Daphnia pulex: one gene and its partners. The protein of the gene in region 2 interacts with the protein of the main gene of each other region in a biochemical or structural test. Links are inferred from orthologs where the notes say so. Each region holds a gene or a part of one and is shown on either strand. Other genes may lie near its edges.

Region 1 (4,284 bases), on a different chromosome or scaffold from region 2:
TTAAATTTTCCAATTTAATAACGATAGAACTACAATTCAAATGTGGATATTTCCAAAAATAATCACTTTTGAGAAAAGGGTTGTGGCTCTCCTGGATGATGCACTCGAGGGAAGCGTGAAGGGCATCATTATTTTTTTCAATGAACTTGGCCGTCTGGTAGCAAACAGCTCCGGCAAAATGACGGATCAAAAATCCTTCGTCATCGCGAATTTCCCGGTGGTCCCGCAATTTAGATTTTCGTGGCAGAGCTAAACGGAAGTGGTTAGGGTTGGCCGAGTGAACGGTGGAAGTGAAATGCGTATGGTTCGATTTAGGCAACTTTGATTCTTCATCCAGGAGATAAAATATTCCGCTGGTGCGGGCCTCAATCAGATCGATGCAATCCTGATTATCTACGTACACGATTTTTTTAACACCTAAACCCTCCTTATCATACAAAAGTTGTTCCTCCTTCAAGATTCGCTCGTTGAAAAACTGTTGTAGTTTTTCATTGCAGTAATTGATGCAAAATTGTTCAAAACTGTTGACGGTGAAATACTCGAAGCCGGCAATATCTAGTACACCGACATAGTGCATGGATGACTGGAATGGAATGCTTTGGTTGATCCGATGGACGATATAGTCAAATAGGCGGCTATAAATAGCTTTTGCTAAAGCATCACGGGCATTGCTGGCTTCGAAAACCTAAACGAAGTTAGCACATGTGTTCAGTACACGGAATGAATACTCAAAATATCGAGGCATGAATACCTTCAGTGGAACCATGATGACAGTACCCTTTATGCCTCCTTTACTTGGCTGCATTACTCGGGAAAGTAGGGCATGATGGAGTTCTTCTGGATCCACACCGATCAAAGCCGAGGCGTTTCGTAATGCTTCATGGCTGGATTTCGCTATTTGACAACCACCACGGGCATCTTCAGCATTGTCTTCGAATGTTATATTTCCAAGATGCAGAATTGCGGCTACGGCAGAATAAATAGCAAGTTTCTCATCGTCCGACATCCCTAAATTACTCAATGCTTTGTCAGTTTGCTTGAAGTCGTTGGCATCGTCCAGCAATGGATCGTTTAACGATCCTCGGCTTCGATGCTCTTTACTCTTCCTGAATATTACAAATTATCAATAGGAAATTTTATACACTTATTTAGAAAAATGACAACTATTACCTATTAGGATCTATTGAGCTATCGGAACCCTTTGAAAGAAAATACTGGGTACACCTAATTTAATGTGGTTAATAACGATAAAAATTTAATTGAATAAAGCTATTAATTGTGGCATACCCTTGAGAAAGGTAGTGAAAGTGGTCAGGGCTACGCAACTGGAGTTGTCCCTTGAGCTTTTCAGAAGCGCCAGCACACAGTTGATAAAAAAAGTGATAGTTGCGCTCTTCTTTGCTTTGTGTCACAATACGCGACTTCTCAAGTAAGTAATGAGATATAAAGCCACCAGCGATGGTATATTTGGATGTAAAATGGATTTCAATAAATTTTCCAAAACGACTGCTGTTGTTGTTTCGCGTAGTTTTAGCATTTCCAAAAGCTTCCAAAAGTGGATTAGCTGTGTATTAAAAAAAAACGTTATCGTTATCCTAGGTTTAATGGCCACTTTAAATCAAATCAACGATCAAGATTCAAGATCTATAATTTTTTACCGTCAAGAATTTGTTGTTCAATAGGTCCAGCTGACAGCCCCCCTGATTCACAAAGATACCTAAGGATATACTTGGTTGATTCAGTTTTTCCAGCTCCAGATTCTCCCGACACCACAATGGACTGGGATTGTTTTAATACTCTCATATCCCTAAAAGCTTTGTCAACTGCATACATAAAATAATAAAAAAATAAGTAAAGTATTATTTGTTAGCATTACTGATGAACTATTTACCAACAGCAAACACATGTGGAGGCAATGTTCCAAGTGATTTCCCTTGGTATTTCTTGATAGCATCTTTGCTATAGAGCCCCTTGATTTCAAAGTAGGGATTCACTGCAATCAGAATGTTAGCCACATAAGTGTAAATTTGATCTCTCTTGTAGCGTAATGCAACATTGTTGAGAAAAGTGGCTTCATTTAGAAACATCAAAGAACCTATGAAATACAAGTTATGATGATTATTAAAATTTCATGGTGAATCAACAATAAAAATATTACAATTGTCATCAACATCTTTGTTGTCGTCTTCTCCTGCAGGATACACACGATCATATGGACACCTAATCTCCTTCAATCCTTGTTCGATAGGCAGGACAGTTATTGCTTCACTTCCCAAATCTACTATTTTGCCCAATATGAAACCTCTGTGAACATCAGGAACCCACACTTTTTGGTTATCCATCTGAAAAACACAAAAAAACACAAACAGCAGATCAATTAATAAAAAATTCACAACATTGAACCTTGACTGTCAAATTTTCAAAAACATTTTCAAGCCATAGCGCTCAACGCGCTTCAATGTTGGGGTTTCATTTGTCAACCACTAGACTGCTATAGCCGACAAAAGCGACAGGTTACCAGGCCACATAATTGAATAACGAGCCTTTGTGTTCCTGTAAATATTTTCGTACCATCACTTTTGGTGTTACCGGCGCATTTTCGGGCGCGGAAGACGATTCTTGTATCTTACAACCTTTTGCTGCCATACTAAAGTTTGTTTGGTACAATTTCGATTCGCATTTGCACAAGTGTCAGCTTGAAGTCTCAAACTCCAAATGGCAGAATGACTGCCACAGACAAAAAGCAGAGCAGACGATGATGGAAACGTCATCAAATAGGACCTGTCTATCTAGAGTTTCTAGACTGCCAGAAACCAGTTAACAGTAATCCAGTTTACAACAGTAACAAAGGACAGTAGCAGGTAGCAACAAGGTTGCAACTTTAAATTAATAATTTCAACCCTTACACTTCTTCGTGCATCAGAATGTAAATAAATAGGAAAAAAACCTCGAATAAGGAAATCAGGAAAATCGCTACAAAAAATCCCCATTAAGACAATAACGGAAAATACTTTGGATTATTAGAGATAAAGCAGGAGAATAGGGTTGTCGAACGTTACTCAGATATGTACATATGAAACAAGATATGAAATAAGACCGAACGATCATTTATCGTGCTAGAATAATCTGACATTGCATTATAACCATAGCCATCTGCTAATGCTATTTCGTCGCAGCAGTTAACTATAAATAAGACATTTAATTCTTGAATTTCTAATGACACAAAAGACATGTGTACAACAGGAGAAAGATATTCGGAAACGGGATAAAAAAATAGTTGAAGATTCCGGTGAAAAACCTCAAGGTTGTTCACCCGCTACGAGCGCATGCACAACCAACAGCAGATGGTCGAATGATCATCCTCGTCTTAGCCCACAAAAACCCCTCGGATTCGTTCACATCGCCGTTGCCGCTGGATGCTTTCTGAAAAAAGGTGAAAATCCAGTCAAAGAATTTCGAACACGAAGAGAACTGTTATTATCAGCAGCAGCTCTGGTCTGCTGTGCAAGTGCTATAGCGCAAGGGATATGCCGTGTGGGTTTTGTTTGTTCCAACTTTTCTATCCGTGTGAAATGAATTTCCAACTAGCGCAATAAACTGGCCAGCCCCACCAAACGGAAACGCTAATGATTGATAAAAGGAAGTGGGAAATAGTTGAAACAGAAACCAAAGCACAACGAAATAAGAACGAACAAAAGCAAAGAGGGGGAGGGCCAAAAAGAAGTACAACAAGCGCTTCAATTTGAGGGCAGATGATTTACACTTGGCCAGTCAACCGCTTCGATACACCAGTCGGACCGATCTTCCAGGGCTAGTTTTTTTTTAAGGCCAAACTACCTCATACAAAAGCACGAAGTTAAAGAGAACGGGAAAAAAACGAATCCCGGAGAAAGTTTTTCTTTTTTTTCCCGGGAAAATTTACAAGAACATAAACATGTCGTTGCGGTGATCTCCCATGGGTCATTCAACCATTATCATGTAGTATGAAAATAACTTAAAAAATACTTCTATCTTAAATCTCAAACTATTTGAAAAGTCATAAAATCCAAGTGAAGTCATGTTTAAAAAAAAAGCAATATTTGTTTAGATTACGTTAAACGACACACTCAGTCAGGGATTATTTAAAGATATGATGCCTGTTAGATTTCCTAAAATAATGCCATGAAAATGGACGAAGGAAAGGAGGGGGCTCAGGATGGCAGGAAGTACTAACCTTTCATTTTTCTTTCTCACCTAACTTCCCTCGGCAAACATATGACGGATTGTATTACACATAAGTTCTTT
Region 2 (4,360 bases):
GGGAAAACACTGTAGCTAATGGACATTTGCTCGACATGTCGGAAGTGCAGATGTTGGATTGGACGCTCAACAAAGAATTAATTGTATGAATTTCCAACTGAATCGTCATCTCTCTTTTCGGTTGACTCTTTATTTTTTGGACCAGCCGCCGTTCCCAGGGGAATTTCTAACGTACAGAGTTTTACAGCGTGTAACAAGAAGACCAGTGAAAACAATTTCCGTGGTGATCGCCCCCCACCCGCCCGACCCTTTTTGGTCTCGCGTCGATTTGATTTGTCCGCCGCAAATAGAAATTAGATTTTACCAATGACTTTTCCCATTTTATTGACTTGCGTGAACGAATTCGTCGCGTACCTTTTTTTTATTTTCACTGGCGCGATGTCGTACCAATGCGGAAAGTTAATTGCATTACATTTGAAAAGTCTGCAGCACCCAACACTTTCTGCACGATGATGGAATTTAAATATTTGACTTTACACTCAGATATTTCGGCATAATTCAGTTAACGGCAAACACAAGTTGCACATTATTCCGTTTCCTTCCCTTTTTTCCCCGTGTGTGTGTGTGCGCCAACTTTTTCAACTTTAGCTACTTTGTGCGGATTGATTGAAACGTTAAGTCGGAATTTGGTTTCGAAATGAAAATGAATAAATACGTACACACTTTACACAAAAGACACGTTTTGGGGCGCAGTTGAATAGATCCCATTATTCGTACTACAATAATAGCTTTCATTTGATGATATTTTCTCATTGAAACATCTCACTTTCGTTTTTGATGTTACATCTCCAAGGCGGATGTATAAAGTGAAAGTTACAAAATCAAGAATTTCCCATAGTGTGCGAGTTTACTCTAGCCTTTTGAAAAGGATGTAGATTTTCTATTAGTTTGGTGGCTAGACTTCTTTTATAAAAAAAAACCCCAACTTTACCCACAGGGGTGCCCTGTAACAATGGTCGAATTTATTTCCGGTCTGAGAGTTGGTACGAATTTATAACATTGGCAACCAATATAGCCCACGCATATATAGGATGTCTTTGAGAGAAGACATGTGTATAGTTTAGCAGCAGCAGCAGCAGCAAGGTCAACAACATTCCGTCTCGCACTGAAGCGTGTCAAGCATAACGCCGAGCCTTTGCAATTACGCCAAATAACATTCGCCACTCTAGCGCAATATCATTTCTATTCAGGGCTGATGGTCTCTCCATATATATAATAAAACCCGAAACTCATATGGACTGACGGTATATAGAAAAGCTTAGAGCTTATACTCATCATTCTTGACGTCTACTGTGCTGCATACATACTACTGCGACGCTGGGACGGCCATATGACAACTTGTATCGGAGTTGATCCGTCCCTGACGGTGTGTGTGTGTGTACCACCGCATTGCTCAATGACTCCCGATTTTGAAAGTCTAGAAAAAGAATTACGGTAAAAGAAGGAGAGAAAAAAAAAAGTCAACTTATTTTATTTTTTGAGGATTCGAAATAGTAAGAAGGTTGCGCTATACCCGGTCAATATACGTAGAGAGAGAAAAGGGCTTCTTCCTCCTCTCCGCAATGTGCATGTGGCGCCTCTAGTCGGGCCCCGCCTCTTTTCCCACTCTCTCTCTTCCTCCGAGCATTCGGCTCAGTTGGCTGTCGTCTGTTGTGCTTGGTGAACGTCCCCCGTCGCTGCTCGTTGTGGTACCGCCTTTGCTCTCTCTCCTGCCCCGTCGTCCAGGATAACTTAGTTTTTTTCCCCGACAACTCTCTATTTCATCCAATAATATCCACTATGGTAAGTACTTCCACGTCGGCATCCTCTCCCAACCGGCACACGAAAATTCCGCCATTTTTAGTGCCTAGCCTACACTTGACGGAAATATAGATTTTATGACTGGAGAAGAGTCGGGTGGGTCGGGGGGAGGGGGAAGTAAAATCAAACGACCTTTTTCTTTTTTTTTTTCTTTTTTCCTATTTTCTTCTCAGATAGTTGTCGCTTTTGACATTGCCGGCTCGTTGTACTGAAACAGGGGGCAATTTGGCCGTCATCGCCCTCGAAATGTCGAATGCTTCTTTCTTTTCTAATTTTGGAGTAGCTCGTAACAGCTTGCTGCTGCACACGTCAATTTAAGCTCGGCACACAACCAGACTTGAAGCTCTCAAACAATATGGTTGCACACTGACCAGACAAGGCCAGTAGTAAAGAGAAAGTTGGTACTGCTAGATTTATTCAGGGCAAATTTACACAGTCTGGTTTGAGCAATGTTAATACCAATCAAGGCTCTCTCTTTATTACTCATGTTGAAATGTCTTGGAATTCTCAAGACAATTATATTAACCAGAAACATTTGTACCTCTACAGGCTGACCAGTTGACAGAAGAACAGATTGCTGAGTTCAAGGAAGCCTTCTCCTTGTTTGACAAAGATGGTGACGGCACCATCACCACCAAAGAGTTGGGAACTGTCATGAGGTCGCTTGGACAGAACCCCACTGAAGCTGAACTCCAGGACATGATCAATGAAGTTGATGCTGATGGTACACACATTATTCAATTTTTCTAATTTATTGCAACTCCAATAGATTATCAAGTATTCTGACAAGTTTGTTTTTGCTGCTTAAGTGGCTTGACTGCTTGATTCTTGGCAGTCAAAAGACTTCCTGAAATATCTGCTCTCTGCTCGCAGAACTTTTCTTGAATGAGAATACTGGCTGCATGTTTTCAATATCAATGAAAATTGTTTTGAACCACGTTCATTTCTTATTGTTCATTTTGTTTCTAATCATACAGAAATCTAATGTAGTTCTTATCATTCTAATCCAAAGGTAACGGAACAATCGACTTCCCCGAGTTTCTGACGATGATGGCTCGCAAAATGAAAGATACCGACAGCGAGGAAGAGATTCGAGAAGCCTTCCGTGTGTTTGACAAGGACGGCAATGGTTTCATTTCAGCTGCTGAGCTCCGGCACGTCATGACCAATCTAGGAGAAAAGTTGACCGACGAAGAAGTCGATGAAATGATTCGCGAAGCTGACATCGACGGAGACGGCCAAGTTAACTATGAAGGTAAAAACTATGATATGTCATGCTCACCTGCATCCAATTTTCTTTTATCGCAGTCGACATCGTCTGTCCGCCTGTTAAACCCTTAGATTTTTAACTAAGCCCTGCATTTACAAATAGTCAGATATCCACATTTTTAGGGAGGTTCTTGCATGCACGTGCGGGTCCCATACTTTCCCAGATGGACCAAAAAATAATGTGGAATATGGAAGTAGAAATATTAATTTAAAAAGCTGCTTTTGGTTCCATGTGTCTAGAAACTATCAAAGACGCACCTTTAATATTCTGTTGGTACACAGACGCATAATTTCTAGACTCTGTGACAAATGTCAATGTGACAACGTAACTCAATTATAAATTTTCTATTTAACAACCATGGCTTAACCTAATCCGATTTTAATCTGATTTTGGAGGCATTCACAAACAGTTTTGGTGTTAGAAACATGATGATGCATCGATTTTAAACCGAAATTAGCGCGTTACCTCTAAAATATTCATCGTCTTTCGTCGTAAAGATTCAGTCCAACCTGGTCCTTTAATATGTGACCTGAATTCCCAAGACGTTTTAAAATTTGATAGTCGATGCAGGACAACTCCTATTTTCCCCCACTTTTGTCTAGTTTATAGTGGAATCGATGATACTAACACGATTTTTCTTATCTTTGCAGAATTCGTGACCATGATGACCTCGAAATGAATAAATCCTGCGGTGTCGTGCCCCTTCCCCAGTGAGCCGTGTGTAGCGTGGACGTGGTTGTGTTTACCGAAACAACAATCAACAACAAAACGTACCATACTTTTCAAAGCAACTGTTTGTAAGACTACAACAACACCCGGCTGACGATACGCAAAACAAGAAAAAGAAAAAAAAAAAAAGAAAATAAGCCAGTTGTCATTGATCTTTCGAGGGCGGCATCCATTTTGTGAAGGGAAAATAACATCACCAGATTTCTGTTTCAAATAGTTTTTTTTTTCCTTTTTTTTTTGCTTTTTTAAAAATATTTTGTGTGTAAAAAAAAACTAACGTCAACGTTACTGTCTAAAAACACTTTGGTTCCCATGCATATAAGCTGCGCTCGTCCAGTGTAGTGTTGTGAACTGCCGTGCTGCTCGGGGATGGAATACTGGACCAAGTTAATTTAAAACAGAATACGAATCGGCAGATTAAGAAAAGAAAAAAAAACATAACATGGGGAATTATTTGTCTTAAAAAAATAAGTGATTTTTTCGTCAGCTGTAGAAGAAATTCGATACATTCACCATCAACCAGAACCCTTCCTCTCGTTTTTACCCTTTCGTTCATATAAA
Region 3 (4,383 bases), on a different chromosome or scaffold from region 2:
CGGTCCAGCAAAATCTTAAGAATCTCGTAGTTATTACGATGCGCTGCCAGAATAAGAGGGGTAATATCAGGAGTAAAAGAAGAAGTGGTCCGATCCACGTTCTCCCAGCTCTGAAACCAAATAGTAAAGACACCAAAATACAGAAGATTAATAATTTGAATTTTGAGTTTTGGTACGCAAAACGCAACTGATCAGTTCACATCGCTTAGATCGCTATATGCTGGTTATTAATGGAAAGTTGCTAAAACATATAATTTTAAATCGTTAAAAAATACGACTTACGTATGGATCTCCTTCTTTATGAATGAGCTCCTCGTGTTCCAGAAGAAGCTCCACGGCCTAAGATGAATTTGAAACATTTAAATTTCAACACTCATTTTTATTGCGCTGGTCATTTTTGCTCTACCTCAACGAATTCTTTGTCGATAGCATGAAGCAAAGCATCTCTAGTGGCAATCCCCATCACTACCAATAACTCCACCATCTAGTTTAAAAAGTAAGTAATCGATTATTTTTTAAACCTCGATTGGTTTCCTAAAAATGTACTGATAACCTGTAAATTTTCATTATCAATAGCCATAAGGAGAGCCCCTCGTCCTAGAGGATCCACGCAGTTCAAGTTAATGGAATTACCGCAAAGTCCTCGCTTAACTCGGTGGATTATTCTGATACACGAGTATTGAGACAAGTTTCAAATTACAAATACATTACATAACTTATACATCACACACAAATTATAAAATTGAAATTGTTACCGGTACTGTAAATAAGCATAATCGTGAATTGAAGTGGTCATTTATAATTATTAAGCAATTAAATCGCATATCATTGATGTAAGCTACTAAAACTGATTAATCCTTATCACAATTATTAATTGTGAAATAAATATCTTGTGATTGCAATCACAGTTATAATTGTGATTGATTATCAACGTAGTGTACGTGCGACGAAAAAACAAAACACAAATAACAAACATTTCTGTCTTGCGACTTGGTATCATCATCGTCCAAGTAAATTCATTCGACGGCGATGTGTTGAGAACGGGGTTGAGAACTAATTAGATTCTATAAGATATTACTGAAACTTGATATACATCCAATAATACCCCATTTTTCACTTTTCATACATATTTTTTTTATTCCCTGGAAGTGATGAAACTATATCCGGTCAGCTAGCTTTTGCCAGACACGGACCACTTTTCTGCAAACTCATTTCTCAATGGTCTTCTTTCAGATAACGAAAACATAGTGTGGCGCAAATGCTGAAATTTGGAGGCAAATTATTTCTAGTTACTGGCAATAACAAATTTTTACGATTTCGTTCCACTTTTAATCGTTATACGTCAGTTCGAATTATAAACGCCAAAAACATTCCGTTTCCGCAAAATGAGCATCGCGGAATGTCTTAAGAAGGAGAAAAGTGTTAAATCAAGTGTGTGTTCGTGATTACCATCAATCATTATCATCGAAGGAAATGGTTTGTCTACATCCACATTAGAATTTGCAATGATCCTAATACTTTATTTTCTCCATCAGCCAAAAATTGGTTTCCCGTGCACCATGAATTGAGTTGTCTGATTTTTGATGAACGATTACCTTTTAACAGTAGTGAGATCTCCTCGTTCAACTGCTAGCAGGAATTTTTTTTCCTCGAGTGTCAATGATTTGGGTAGTATAGGCATCTTAAGGTCACGAAAGCTCTCTGTTCGTATACATCCCTGAAAGCCGTTTTCGTAAAAAAAGTAATTTTAATACTGTATACAGTCAGTGTACCATACTTAATTTCTATCTCTGAGAAATAAAAAAATGACTTCTCCTTCATAAGAGTTCATTTTGCTAAAAGGCAGAGACAGAAAACAGAAATCGCTCACTGCAGCGCTAACTTAGAACGCTAGGAGACTCGCGGAGAGAATGAGCGGGTAAAAAGTAAAAAACTCTTTCAATCCAGTTGTGAGTCACTAAAAAAAAGAGTAAGAAAATCGGAAACCTCTTCGATGTTGCTGAACTGCGGGACGACGTCGTCACCTTTGTTAGGAGGTTTCTCCATTCTTTTCGAACAAAATCCGGAATAATAATAGAAACAAAAAATATTAACGAACAATAATTAAATCTAGGTTTACTCATTTCACTTATACAGAAACTGTCAAAAGCATAGGATAAAAATTTCTTAATTGTATTCATATTTATTAAAATATTTTTTAAACAAACGTTCAAATGTAGGCTTAACTGAAGCTTAGGTATGAAAGAGAATAGGTTAACTTTTATGATTTTTTTGCTATCCCCCGTTCTGTTTTTCGCTAATAAATAATTTTTTTTTCAGCTATTGAGGACATTTGGGCGGATTGAGACATTCAATTTTTCACTAGATTACGCACAAAATTGCGTGCATTACGACTAGATGCAAATCCTAATTACTATTTCCGCAAAAACGAAACTCAAAAATCTATTCTGATTGAGTCACGGACTCGTGGTGAAACGAAGTTTTTACAGCAAAAAAAAAAAGTTTTTCCATAATTTTTTTTTCTAAAGTGTGAATACAATAATAGATAAATATAAAAGCCATTTCTGAGTCTTAATGAAGTTATCATTTCTGAGATACGGTTTTCATTATATACAACATATTTTAATTAGAACTATATTCACTATTGAAAAATCACTTAAAATATTTATAATGTTAAGACTTTATTTTATGTAACTAAAATTATCAAATAAAGTTCTATTGTAAAATTGCGATGGATTCCAATTTCCAAGTATATATATATGGGTGATTTTATGAAGAAACTTGACGCTCACTTGCATGAAGAAGAATTCGTAACTGACTAGTGAACAGAATTGCTGGATTTCTTATATACAGGGAGAAAGCAAGCGACCTTGGGTATTTAACATTAAACAATCAGATTATGTACACATGCCACTACGAAGTGGGTGAAGGTGTTGGAGTGGGTGGTATCACCCAGGCTTCATTTGTGAGGATTCATGTCCCCAACTAATTGAATTAATGTCCTTATTTAGCTCAACCTGGTACTAGAGATCCGACGAAGCATCACATATTCATTTCCTGGTTTTGTATTTGGGTCTACAGCCCCAAAATAATTTCGCTCTGTCAAGAAGACATTCACACACGCATGCGTCTTCAATCGCGCGCGGAACACTACTAGCGTGCATTTATTTAAATAACACGATAAATTAAATGTGCTGCATTGATACAAGAAACACTTTTTTTCAGAGTTTTCTTTGTGTCAACTACAAAAAAAAAAAAAAAATACATTCATAGGGACCGGTCAAATCCTGGAACGCATCGGATCCCGGACAGCCTTGATTTTTCTTAAGATTGGATCAAGAAAATTTCATCCACCGCGAGCAAAATCGACTCATTATTTACTTACTTCGATATATTCTTACTATATCTTCAACGCTTTTACTTCGATTATTTTCTTTTAAATTAAGGTAATCGTCACCGTCCCCACTATTTTCTTTATTTAAGCGATTTCTATGTGCTCACAATGAAGGTAGTCCTTTATTTTGGGTTGACCGTCATCTTGACTAGTTGAGTGTCTAGTGTATGGTATAGGGAGAACGCGGAAGCCCCTATTTTCGCTAAAAGACGACTGTTACCACAGACTACGAAGTAAAGACAACAATCGTCTCCATAAGCCTGAGAGGAACCGTCTGAAGCGATGCTCCTGCTTGCCGGCAGGGGTCAGGTCGTCCGATTCGGCAAGGTGATCAATCGTTTTACCGTTGCTCTACTGATTACGTGCTTCAAACACACGTATTTTTGGGTATACAGTACCTACCGAAAGTCTTTGGAAGCCCGAGAGGACCTTATGAAAAACGCTGTTTTTTCAGTCCTCTCAGTACTACAGTTTTTAACCAAATGCTTTCAAATTTGGTATGTACATAGGTAGAGGTAGTGAGAACACCTCTGATTTTTTTCTGATTTTTTTTAAAATTTTCCGAGGTACTTATGACCCGTTCTAAAAGTCGTTGGAAAGCCGAGAGGATCTTATGCAAATTAGGCCACTTTGGCCTTTTTTTGCAGTTGAACGGCTAGGGCTAGGAAAACATGACTTAAAAAAAATAGACCTGCGTTAGCTCTATAGATGTTATTCCAACGAAAAAGTAGTAGTCGAGTAAAAAGTCGTGCGCAGTTTACGCCGATGCGCACCACTGCGGCCGATAGCAGAACGAAAATTTTTATTACGCTTGACTCTTAACGTAGGTACAATCCTTTGGTCAAGAATCGTCTGCTTCTCCCAGCCCTCCCCGCTCCCTCCCAGCTCCCTGCTCCTCCAAGCCAAACAGTTTCCCGACATATGGATAGTTGGCTCAAAACAAAAAAATCGCCGTTCGGATTTTTTTGTAGGATACTGTCATGGACTAC

The links.
Region 1: the proteins of calmodulin (region 2) and myosin heavy chain 95F-like form a complex in vitro, tested with the Drosophila melanogaster proteins (2 studies listed by BioGRID). The link is inferred for Daphnia pulex from reciprocal best matches to the Drosophila melanogaster genes Cam and jar.
Region 3: the proteins of calmodulin (region 2) and transient-receptor-potential-like protein interact in a test that uses a peptide from one of them, tested with the Drosophila melanogaster proteins (2 studies listed by BioGRID). The link is inferred for Daphnia pulex from reciprocal best matches to the Drosophila melanogaster genes Cam and trpl.

What each region holds. Positions count from the first base shown.
Region 1 is NC_060017.1:3,746,084-3,750,367, forward strand, and holds the start of myosin heavy chain 95F-like, read right to left. Parts: upstream 2,855-4,284; 5' UTR 2,647-2,854; coding exon 2,572-2,646; intron 2,343-2,571; coding exon 2,159-2,342; intron 2,096-2,158; coding exon 1,892-2,095; intron 1,824-1,891; coding exon 1,659-1,823; intron 1,565-1,658; coding exon 1,288-1,564; intron 1,225-1,287; coding exon 1,171-1,224; intron 1,107-1,170; coding exon 752-1,106; intron 686-751; coding exon 67-685; intron 1-66. UniProt on the Drosophila melanogaster protein: Myosin is a protein that binds to actin and has ATPase activity that is activated by actin. Together CLIP-190 and jar may coordinate the interaction between the actin and microtubule cytoskeleton.
Region 2 is NC_060018.1:7,623,584-7,627,943, forward strand, and holds the start of calmodulin, read left to right. Parts: upstream 1-1,537; 5' UTR 1,538-1,779; coding exon 1,780-1,782; intron 1,783-2,349; coding exon 2,350-2,524; intron 2,525-2,812; coding exon 2,813-3,055; intron 3,056-3,720; coding exon 3,721-3,749; 3' UTR 3,750-4,360. UniProt on the Drosophila melanogaster protein: Calmodulin mediates the control of a large number of enzymes, ion channels and other proteins by Ca(2+). Among the enzymes to be stimulated by the calmodulin-Ca(2+) complex are a number of protein kinases and phosphatases.
Region 3 is NC_060025.1:5,640,260-5,644,642, reverse strand, and holds the start of transient-receptor-potential-like protein, read right to left. Parts: upstream 2,855-4,383; 5' UTR 2,793-2,854; intron 2,048-2,792; 5' UTR 2,047-2,047; coding exon 1,987-2,046; intron 1,718-1,986; coding exon 1,596-1,717; intron 666-1,595; coding exon 554-665; intron 485-553; coding exon 407-484; intron 340-406; coding exon 283-339; intron 111-282; coding exon 1-110. UniProt on the Drosophila melanogaster protein: A light-sensitive calcium channel that is required for inositide-mediated Ca(2+) entry in the retina during phospholipase C (PLC)-mediated phototransduction. Required for vision in the dark and in dim light. Binds calmodulin.